2 linked regions of the Arabidopsis thaliana genome follow. The protein of the gene in region 2 interacts with the protein of the main gene of each other region in a pairwise test. Each region holds a gene or a part of one and is shown on either strand. Other genes may lie near its edges. The genes, in order: PDH-E1 BETA and AT1G70340.

Evidence for each region.
Region 1: the proteins of AT1G70340 (region 2) and PDH-E1 BETA interact in a two-hybrid assay, tested with the Arabidopsis thaliana proteins (one large-scale study listed by BioGRID).

What each region holds. Positions count from the first base shown.
Region 1 is NC_003070.9:10,583,293-10,588,297, reverse strand, and holds PDH-E1 BETA (pyruvate dehydrogenase E1 beta), read left to right. Parts: upstream 1-1,617; 5' UTR 1,618-1,820; coding exon 1,821-1,929; intron 1,930-2,050; coding exon 2,051-2,157; intron 2,158-2,236; coding exon 2,237-2,268; intron 2,269-2,975; coding exon 2,976-3,948; 3' UTR 3,949-4,193; downstream 4,194-5,005. Other genes in the region: AT1G30130 (DUF1365 family protein), read right to left, coding at 1-18, 334-632; NUDX25 (nudix hydrolase homolog 25), read right to left, coding at 4,477-4,699, 4,778-4,872, 4,960-5,005. UniProt on the Arabidopsis thaliana protein: The pyruvate dehydrogenase complex catalyzes the overall conversion of pyruvate to acetyl-CoA and CO(2).
Region 2 is NC_003070.9:26,503,173-26,508,359, reverse strand, and holds AT1G70340 (dicer-like protein (DUF936)), read left to right. Parts: upstream 1-1,687; 5' UTR 1,688-1,970; coding exon 1,971-2,700; intron 2,701-2,785; coding exon 2,786-2,880; intron 2,881-2,994; coding exon 2,995-3,086; intron 3,087-3,177; coding exon 3,178-3,793; 3' UTR 3,794-3,999; downstream 4,000-5,187. Other genes in the region: AT1G70350 (uncharacterized protein), read left to right, coding at 98-276, 427-545, 1,000-1,019; ENT1 (equilibrative nucleotide transporter 1), read right to left, coding at 4,000-4,733, 4,822-5,187.

The sequences.
Region 1 (5,005 bases), about 16 Mb from region 2:
GGTATTGTCAATAGAAATCTGCACCACGAAAAAATTACAGATTCATCAAAACTACTTCCTCTATCACAATTACAATTTCTGAACTGATAAAGATTCATTCACCTAACAATTTCATTACAAAAACAACCAAACTACACTGTTAGAGAGCAAAACATAACCATAAAACCAAACAGAAACTAAAAAAAACACTCAATTTTGCAAATCTAACTAACTCCTGATCAACAGAATCTTTCAAATCTTGTTTGTTCCTCAAAAACATTACGCATTATAAAGTTTCAGTTCTAGGTATCAAAATCCAGATTCTTCCGATCTTGGACGAGTCAACAAACTTACATTGGCCCGGTGGTACGAGAAACACGGCGAGCTTCGTCGGCGGAGAAATGATCCGGCGGTGTGTTAATAGCTTTGTCGAGGTCAAAGAGTGCGTAACGAACGGAATAACGGAAAGAGTGGCGGACAGGACGGAGACGGTCGTGCCAGACTGTGCCTTCGTAGAAAGAGACATTAGGATCGACGGCGGCGCGTGAAGGAAGGAGACGGTGGAGAAGGAAGCGAAACGGGAGGAGAAGAGAGAAGAAGATGGAAGTGATTGAAGTGTAGATGATTGAACAGAGGAGAAAGAGCAATTCCATATCTCTACCTCTGTCTCTCTATCTCTATCTGATCTTTTTCAAAAATCAGAGATTGACATTGATGACCCTTCAAATGCAGAGGTTTGGTATATTTATGATTTAATGCCACGTTTAACGATAAGTATTAATTTAACGAGTAATTTACTTTTATTATTTTTGAATCTAATAATGCCGTTTTAAAATGCTATAAGTTAGTATTAATTTAGAATTTGTCTCATAGAGGCCATTGTTATCTTCAGTGACAGTATATTATTGTGTTGTGTGGACCCAAAAGCCAAAAAGGATTGTTTTATTTAATGTTGCAACCAGTTATTATCATAGGGTATTTATCGTATAATCGTGGCTGTTGCGTGGACGTTACTAAACCACTGTATATAATATGTATTTGCATATGGATAAATAATTAAATCATCTCTCAAATTTATAAAAATTTGCATTATGAGAATTCACAGAACTAAAACTCGTAGAATGAAAACTGCATACTAGAAAATCAGATAATAATTTTTTTAAAAAAAAATCAGATAATAAAATAAATAACTGCATACATTTGATTGGTAAATTTTTTATAATCGCATTAAAATAATATTTTACCATATATGTGTTACAAATCAGAGTATAAAATATACAAAACAATATATTGGTAGAGACTAGAGAGACTCAATGTAAATGCTTTAGTTACGTTTATATTTCGCTTATGAAAATTTGTTCTTTGTGGAGAAAAAAAAAAGTTCTTTTTTGACGAAAATTTGCTTACTGGATAATACTGATCTATTAATTACTGGGCCAAGACACTTGAGGCCCATCAACTCCTAGATCGGTGGAAACCTCAAATCTCACAGTTAACGTAATTAGGTTGGTCCAGGTGGTTAAGCAAACCCAGTGATAATCCACAAATCATATACGTACACGTGCCAATCCAGTCGTTAAGTAACACGTGTTAAATTAACATTGGTTGTTATACAATAGAGAAGCCACATGAGTTCGATGAAAACAATGTAAACATGTGGATTTGATTGCACAACAACAATACACATAATTTAATTCGATTTCGACAATTTCATTTAATTCTTCGATTTCTCCGCTTGTCACTGTTTCGTATCGCCATTTTCTGTTTGCATACACTTGTATATATTTATATTAACAGTCCAAAATTCTTCGAAATTGTCCCGAGCTTTGAGCATATAAAAAATGTCTTCGATAATCCATGGAGCTGGAGCTGCTACGACGACGTTATCGACGTTTAATTCCGTCGATTCCAAGAAACTCTTCGTTGCTCCTTCTCGCACAAATCTTTCAGGTTCGAATTTTATTTGATGATCGATCTGCATTCTCTGATTTCGATTTCTGGTGTTTTGGAGCTTCTATTGAGATGGATTTGTGAGATCTTAAAGCAGTTTCGTTGTTTGATTTTGATGCAGTGAGGAGCCAGAGATATATAGTGGCTGGATCTGATGCGAGTAAGAAGAGCTTTGGTTCTGGACTTAGAGTTCGTCACTCTCAGAAATTGATTCCAAATGCTGTTGCGGTAATGTCTTTGTCTCCGATTTTGTGATTTTTATGGTTTCTCCTTCTAATCTCTAATGATGTACGTTTTTGTTTTGTAGACGAAGGAGGCGGATACGTCTGCGAGCACTGGGTTTGTTTTGCACCTTTTTAGCTTTGCAAATTCGATTTTGATTTTACTCTTTTGTGCTCATTGAAGGATTTAGACACTGCTTGAACAAATCTCTAATTGGATCTTTCATGTTCTGTTCTAAATGATTAGATTGTTTCAGTAGTTTTATTACATTTTAGTGGGGATTCAAAGTTGGATAACGATGAGGAAGTTTTTAACTATGTGCTATTGGGTGTGGTGATGTAGGATCCTAGCCAGTTCTAGAGTAGTCAAAACACTAATCTATAGTTGATAGTGATGGCAAAAGCTTAATGTGTTGCATGTCTGCTTCCAGTAATCATTCTAGTGATGCCTTTGGTTGTGCTTATGATGCCAAATGTTTAGGTTAAACCGTTAAACCATTTAGTTCATTCCCATGAACATAGTTTAACTCTCAAGAACATTTCTGGACATCATACGGCAATTGGTTAGGCTTCTGTTACATATTATGCGACTTTCCATTTAGTGAATGTTTCTGTTAGGGGTTTGTGTGTTGTCTTCATTTTCACATAAGCAATCCATGATGATGTCACCATGGCATTTTCTTTCATGTATTAGTCGTCACAAATAGCACATTTTCTTTATCTACCTTTAAACTTCCATGCTCATATTCAATATAAGTGTCATGATGATGCCTTTTTTTTGTCAAAAATACAAAGTGTGACCAATCTTCTCGTATGAATTTACAGACATGAACTATTGCTTTTCGAGGCTCTTCAGGAAGGTCTGGAAGAAGAGATGGACAGAGATCCACATGTATGTGTTATGGGTGAAGATGTTGGCCATTACGGAGGTTCCTACAAGGTAACCAAAGGCCTTGCTGATAAATTTGGTGACCTCAGGGTTCTCGACACTCCTATTTGTGAAAATGCATTCACCGGTATGGGCATTGGAGCTGCCATGACTGGTCTAAGACCCGTTATTGAAGGTATGAACATGGGTTTCCTCCTCCTCGCCTTCAACCAAATCTCCAACAACTGTGGAATGCTTCACTACACATCCGGTGGTCAGTTTACGATCCCGGTTGTCATCCGTGGACCTGGTGGAGTGGGACGCCAGCTTGGTGCTGAGCATTCACAGAGGTTAGAATCTTACTTTCAGTCCATCCCTGGGATCCAGATGGTTGCTTGCTCAACTCCTTACAACGCCAAAGGGTTGATGAAAGCCGCAATAAGAAGCGAGAACCCTGTGATTCTGTTCGAACACGTGCTGCTTTACAATCTCAAGGAGAAAATCCCGGATGAAGATTACGTCTGTAACCTTGAAGAAGCTGAGATGGTCAGACCTGGCGAGCACATTACCATCCTCACTTACTCGCGAATGAGGTACCATGTGATGCAGGCAGCAAAAACTCTGGTGAACAAAGGGTATGACCCCGAGGTTATCGACATCAGGTCACTGAAACCGTTCGACCTTCACACAATTGGAAACTCGGTGAAGAAAACACATCGGGTTTTGATCGTGGAGGAGTGTATGAGAACCGGTGGGATTGGGGCAAGTCTTACAGCTGCCATCAACGAGAACTTTCATGACTACTTAGATGCTCCGGTGATGTGTTTATCTTCTCAAGACGTTCCTACACCTTACGCTGGTACACTGGAGGAGTGGACCGTGGTTCAACCGGCTCAGATCGTGACCGCTGTCGAGCAGCTTTGCCAGTAAATTCATATTTATCCGATGAACCATTATTTATCATTTACCTCTCCATTTCCTTTCTCTGTAGCTTAGTTCTTAAAGAATTTGTCTAAGATGGTTTGTTTTTGTTAAAGTTTGTCTCCTTTGTTGTGTCTTTTAATATGGTTTGTAACTCAGAATGTTTGTTTGTTAATTTTATCTCCCACTTTCTTTTATTTAGACCCTTAGAATTTTCTTTACACTTTATATGTGTTCATGGTGCTAGTTACAATAAATTTTAACCTGAGAATTTTCTTTACACTTATTATAAACACATACACAACTCATTTCCTTCTGAATCCAGACAACGACTTTATTACAATGACCCCCATGTTAAAATAAAACAAAAAAACTTTCTACGTACCAATAACCAATTTACAAAAATGAAAGTAAAAAACCCCTAGAGAAAGCTTTTGCATTCCAAAAGGGTTCTACTAAAAAGAACCGCCCAAAAAAAGAAAAACAACAGTTAACAAAAAAAATAAAAAGACAAACATTGGTTCTTGGTATCTTATATCACCACTTGGCTGATTTACATTTAGCAGCTCTTCCTGTGTCGTTTAAGAACGAACCAAAAGTCTTGATGACTTCTTCATAGGTTGGCCTTTTGTAATCCACTGCTTGCTCTACCACTTCTTCTGGCTTCGCCCATTTCCACTCCGCAAACTCTGAATCCGCTTCGTTGTTCGCTAGATTGATCTCTTTCTCGTCCTCATCGTTCCTCAGTCTCACTAAATACCTGTAGGAATTATTAAGTTTCAGAACAATGAGCCACATTCTTTGCTTTCACGAAATTAAGTAGTATCGAAGGGCTTACCATTTCTGAGCTTGACCATGCCATTCACCGCCCCAAAGACGGTTAACTTTTGCTTTTACTGCTGGTGGAAAATCATATGTCAACCAATTTGGGACCTGTTTAGACATTAAAGAACCCACATTAGTAAATATATCCTCTGATTCATATCGGTTCGCGCAAGTGTTAACTTAAATGTTAGCGACCTCAGAGACGATTTCAGCTGAAACAACACCAGTTTCTTCTTGTAAC
Region 2 (5,187 bases):
CGTAAAGATCCGACCCGACCCGGGTTTAAAACCTCACCTTCGTAAATGACAGAAATGTCGCCGAAGTTTTTTTTGAGAGTTTGAGAAAAGAGTAAACATGGCGGCCAACGGCGTGAGAAGAGCTCTTCAGGCATCGTCATCCTCCGGGAAGATACTCTTTGGTCGTTCATCAGCGGCAACTTCTGCTTCGAAGATCGGAAAATCAGCCGGAATTGCTTTCGGGAATGGATCATCTTCTTCAACTCGTCCCTCACTTCGTAGACTCACATTCTCCAGGTTAGCTATCGAATCCTAGAACCGAGATTCTACAGGCGATAGATCTGTTTTCAATCGAGAAATAGTTTGATTTTGCGTCTACAATGTATGAGCTTTATGCTGAAGAATTAGGGTTTATCTCTGAAATGTAAATTTGGGTTTTGTGTTTAGGGTACCTGTGGAATTGAGTGCAGGGATTTCACTAATACCATTACATAGTGTTACTGCTTCAGCTTTGCTCACTTCATTGCTATCTCTGAGCAATCAAAACTGGAGTTGCTTATCAGAAGGTAAATTTTTTACTTGTGTTCATGATTTATGTTTAGAATTGAAGTTGATTCTGAATTTCTGTTTCCAGACTAGGAGTAAATGTAGTCTCAATTGGTAAATAGGATTCCATAAATGATCTGCCTTGACATGCTAATAGAAGTAATCGGTTTTGTATAGTATATCAAGTGATCGGCTTTATAGCTAATGATCTTTTTCTTCGCATGTTTTATTACGAAAACGTAGCAGAAGGGCATTGAGTTTGTATAAATTGTTCCTTGTCATACTATTGCTCCATTGTGACGACCTATCACTGTCTATCTGACCTAATGAGAGTGGAATCTTATCGATGGTAGTAAAATGATGTGTTGATTCACATTTACGAAACATTGAACCAGTGGATTAGATTGTTCAGACTTGTGTTGTGTTGGTCTATTTGCACAGTGACTAATCTAAGTTTGCATTCGATATTTGCAGGATTTGCTTCAACACTATAACATGGCCTGCAAGTTTTGATAGATTCCAAGAAATTTGTTTCATTTCATCGCTGTATTTTGCAGTTTGTCCTAGAAGTTGGAGATATCGAGAAAAAACACAAACCCTTGCTTTCTTCTAAGGGCTAGTTTGTTCTGTTTACCTAATACAATTGTCATATTCAATTGATGATTCCGTTACCTTTAACACTTTGCCTGGAAATAAACTACTCATTATGCTTCATGGTTTCCATTACCTCTCTGCCAGTGAATCTGACTTAAAGCTATTTAATCTCGTTCATTAATGTTCATGATTGAAATTGAATCACTATTGGTGAATTATGTTTAGAAATTGAATCAGACCCTTGTTTTCTTCTAACATCTAAGGCCTACTTTGTTCTTTTTGTTTATACATTTATCATCTTAAATTGGTAATCTCGTTACTTTAGCACTTCTGGCCTACAAATAAACTACTCATTATGCTGAAATTGTTTGAGTTCCCTTACCAAAACCAATTAAGATACTGTTTATAGTAAAGAAAAAGTGATTGAAACAGTTCTGACTTTCTTGTAATTTTGTAGTCGGAATCATGCGATGTTTATTGGTTCCACCAACTATGCACTGTCAAGTGTCAACCACCAAATACACTATACTAGAGACTTAACCATTAGAAATTGGTTCTTCAAATTGGCCATATAAATTATAAATCCATGAACTGACTAAAAAGACTCATCGTTGCTTTTTGTGAAGTGTTAAACCAAATGATCACGGATATAAATTAGAATAATTGCGACACAGATCTACCAGCAATTTCGACCGTTGCAACAAAGCCATGATTCAAAAAGTTTGCTTTTTTAATCTTACCGTTGGCTCCTAGCAACTGCAAATCCTTAAGATCAACATCTCCTTCTTAATTCTTACCCAGTTATTGAATTTTCTGAAACTATCGTTCTTGATCTTAAAAGCTCAACAAAAATGGCAGCTTTGGCACCTGGAATTCTTCAAAAGCTAATCCAAGGTATGAAAACAGGAATTAAACCAACTAGAGAGCACCGAAGCTCTATGTTACAGGTCACAGATATCGTTCCCATTGATCTCGACGAGAAGTCTCTGGAGCCGAAACAAGGGTTTCTCATCAAAATCTCTGATTCCTCTCACTCGATCTACGTCTCTCTCCCTTCGGATCAAGACGACGTCGTTCTCAGCAATAAGTTGCAGTTGGGTCAGTTTATCTACGTTGATCGGCTCGAACCTGGATCCCCTGTTCCTGTCATTAAAGGGGCAAAACCCATACCTGGCCGGCACCCCTTGCTTGGGACGCCGGAGACATTGGTGGTTCCGAAAGAAAGAACTGATCAAGAGATTGGGTCGAAGCCTAGAAGAGGATCTTGGGGACAAAACGTCGACTTTTCTTCGTCTCCGTTTGTTGTGAAACCAATGGCGTTGGAGTTTGACCATTCCACGCCGGCGAAGAGGTCTGTTTCAGCTAGATTTGCAGCGTCTCCGATCAGAAGAGGTGGAGTGAGATGCTCTTTTGGTGGAGGGGTTTTGGGGAAATTGGAAGGAGAGAGTCCGGCGACGGCGATGCTAAGGAAGAGTTGTTTTGTTTCGTCGGCTTCGAAGTTTCCGAGAAGTAGAAGTGTTTGTGACAGACAGGCCAAAAAGAACAATGCTTCTCTTTTTAGTCCCTTCAAATCCTCTCTAGGTATATTTTGCTTTTAACATTTCTATTGATCATTTAGTGTGTTTACAATGATTTATTCAGGACAATGCTTGTTTCTTGATTTCAGAGGCTCAAGAAGATGTTGTTCCCTTGTCTACCTCGAAGAAGATAAAACCCGAGAAAGATACCAATTTATCAGGAAGGCTCAACATACTAAGCAAGGTGATTTGAACTCCATTTGTGTTCTTCATTGAAGTTTGATGCTTGGAATAATATCATATCTTTCTTGAAAGTTCAAATAGTTCCTTAATCTTCTTTGTGTTACTTTGGTGACAGGAAGCAACTCAGCTTCGGGAGGTAGCTCAGAAAGTTGCCCTTCAGGCATTGCGAGAAGCTACAATCACGGAAATTGTTGTTCGTCATACCAAGTATATAACCCGAAACTCTTCTTTCCTACGCTTTTTTATTAGTCGGATTTGAGTTGGAATGTAATGTGTTGATGTGGTTTTGTTGGGACAGGACGTTCACCAATCTGAGTAAATCAGCAAAAGCTGATTGCCCTGCGGTGTGCTTTGAGAAGTTCATGGAGTTTCACCAGCAGATGGCACAAACCATTGGCGAACTCACTTCCATTGAAGTAGCTGCTACTCCAGATGCTGAGAACAAGTCACAGAACATAAACGCAAGAACCGAAAATCAGAAACCAACAGAAGAAGGGTCTTCTTCGATCCTGCATGAAATCGCTTATAATTCTATTGATCAGGAGAAAAGGAGATCAAAGAGACGGATTGTCCTGAAGCAGCAGAGCGAAGGGAAGACAGTGAGATCAAATGATGAGAACAAGAACCCAGCTTCTGGCGGTATAAGCAACACGATTAGGTTAGCAAAGGAGATCGAGGATGAAGCTGCAAACTGGTTCATGGAGTTCATCGAAATAGCTCTGGAGAAAGGTATGAAGAAATCTAGAGGCCCTGATGATGCAGACGTTAAGAAGGTTCCGCAATCTCTGATTCTCGGGGTTTTAAACTGGATTGAAGTCGAACAGTCTGATAGCAACAACAACAAGAGACGCAGAGTCCATCCAAAAGCATCAAAGATCACTAGAAAGCTCAGAATTAAACTGAAGAATCCTTGAACCACTTACAATGAGAAACACTGAATACACGTTGTAGCCTTTTACAGCTTATAAGTCTTTTGTGTTCATGGTGTAGAAAGAAGAATTTTCACATATTACTGAAGGAAAAACGAACAATTCACACAGGATGATTCACAGATTAATGAAGCTGAGTTTGTCGAAGCTTAAAGAATTCAACAAATACAGATAACAAAGCTTTGGTAGAATCAAATGACCCAGAACCAAGCAATGACAGATCCAGAGGCCAAACCAACAACCAAGAACATCACAGTGACGATTCCTGCAGTCTCCGAGTGTCTCAGTGGAACCGATTTTGGAGCCAGAATCATCAAGACGCTTGTCAAGTACCCGTTGGTAAGTCCCAATAAGCATGTCAGTATAGTTACAGGAATCTCAGTCCTGAGAAACATCGGACCGTGCAAGCAACCCCAGAAGAGAGGGTAAAACAAGAGCCTAGCAATGGAACCACCAACAGCGATTTTCTCATCCTCCAGCATGAATACAGCAGTCAGACACTTACCAACCAAGTCAAACACATTGTACGCTGCAATAAGCAGAATAGGGTACCAATCTGTAAGAAGCTCTGAATGAACATCCTCAGTAATGTATCCAGGAAATATCGACAATGTCACCATGTATAAGAGAACAATCCCGAAACCATGAGATTTAACTTTCGTCACGATATCCCAGAGTGTTGTCCTCCACGCTAAACCGGTTAAAGAACCTTTCTCTTCGCTCTTCTCTCTGATTAGTTCTTCATTCTTACGCTCCTCATGGAACTTGATCACCGGAAGCTTATGCGCTACGTTGTAGAACACAGCACAAATCACCATAACAACAATCCCCACAGCAAAGTATAGATTCGCACTTTTTCTCAAACCATCAGGATCTTGAGGATACACAGCTTTAGTCAAAATTCTCAATAGTGACACAAGAACACCTACACATCCAAAATTCCCAAAAACCTAAATTAATCTAACCACAGCAACCAAATCATTCTCCATTATTGAGGAAGATGAAACATTTACCGGAGCCAGCAGTTCCGGCGACAACAGCTTGCATATACCTCTCCGGCATTTCACCGGCAACACCGATAAGACCTCCTTGCATAAGTGCATCACCTAGACCGGATAAGGCAACGGCGGCGGAAGTAACATCGAATCCGGCGTATAATCCGACCTGTCCTTTAACATAAACCAGATCCAAAACAGGAACCACAAGCAAGGCGATTACGAAGAGTAAAAGACCGAGATTGATTCTAAAGCTAGCGAGGCTCTTATGTGCATAGAAGACAACGATAACGAATAGACAAACAAGAGCAACGAGCATGTAGATAACGGCGAAGATCCGATCGACGGCCGTGGAAGGATAGAGGTAAGAGAAGTAATCGACGG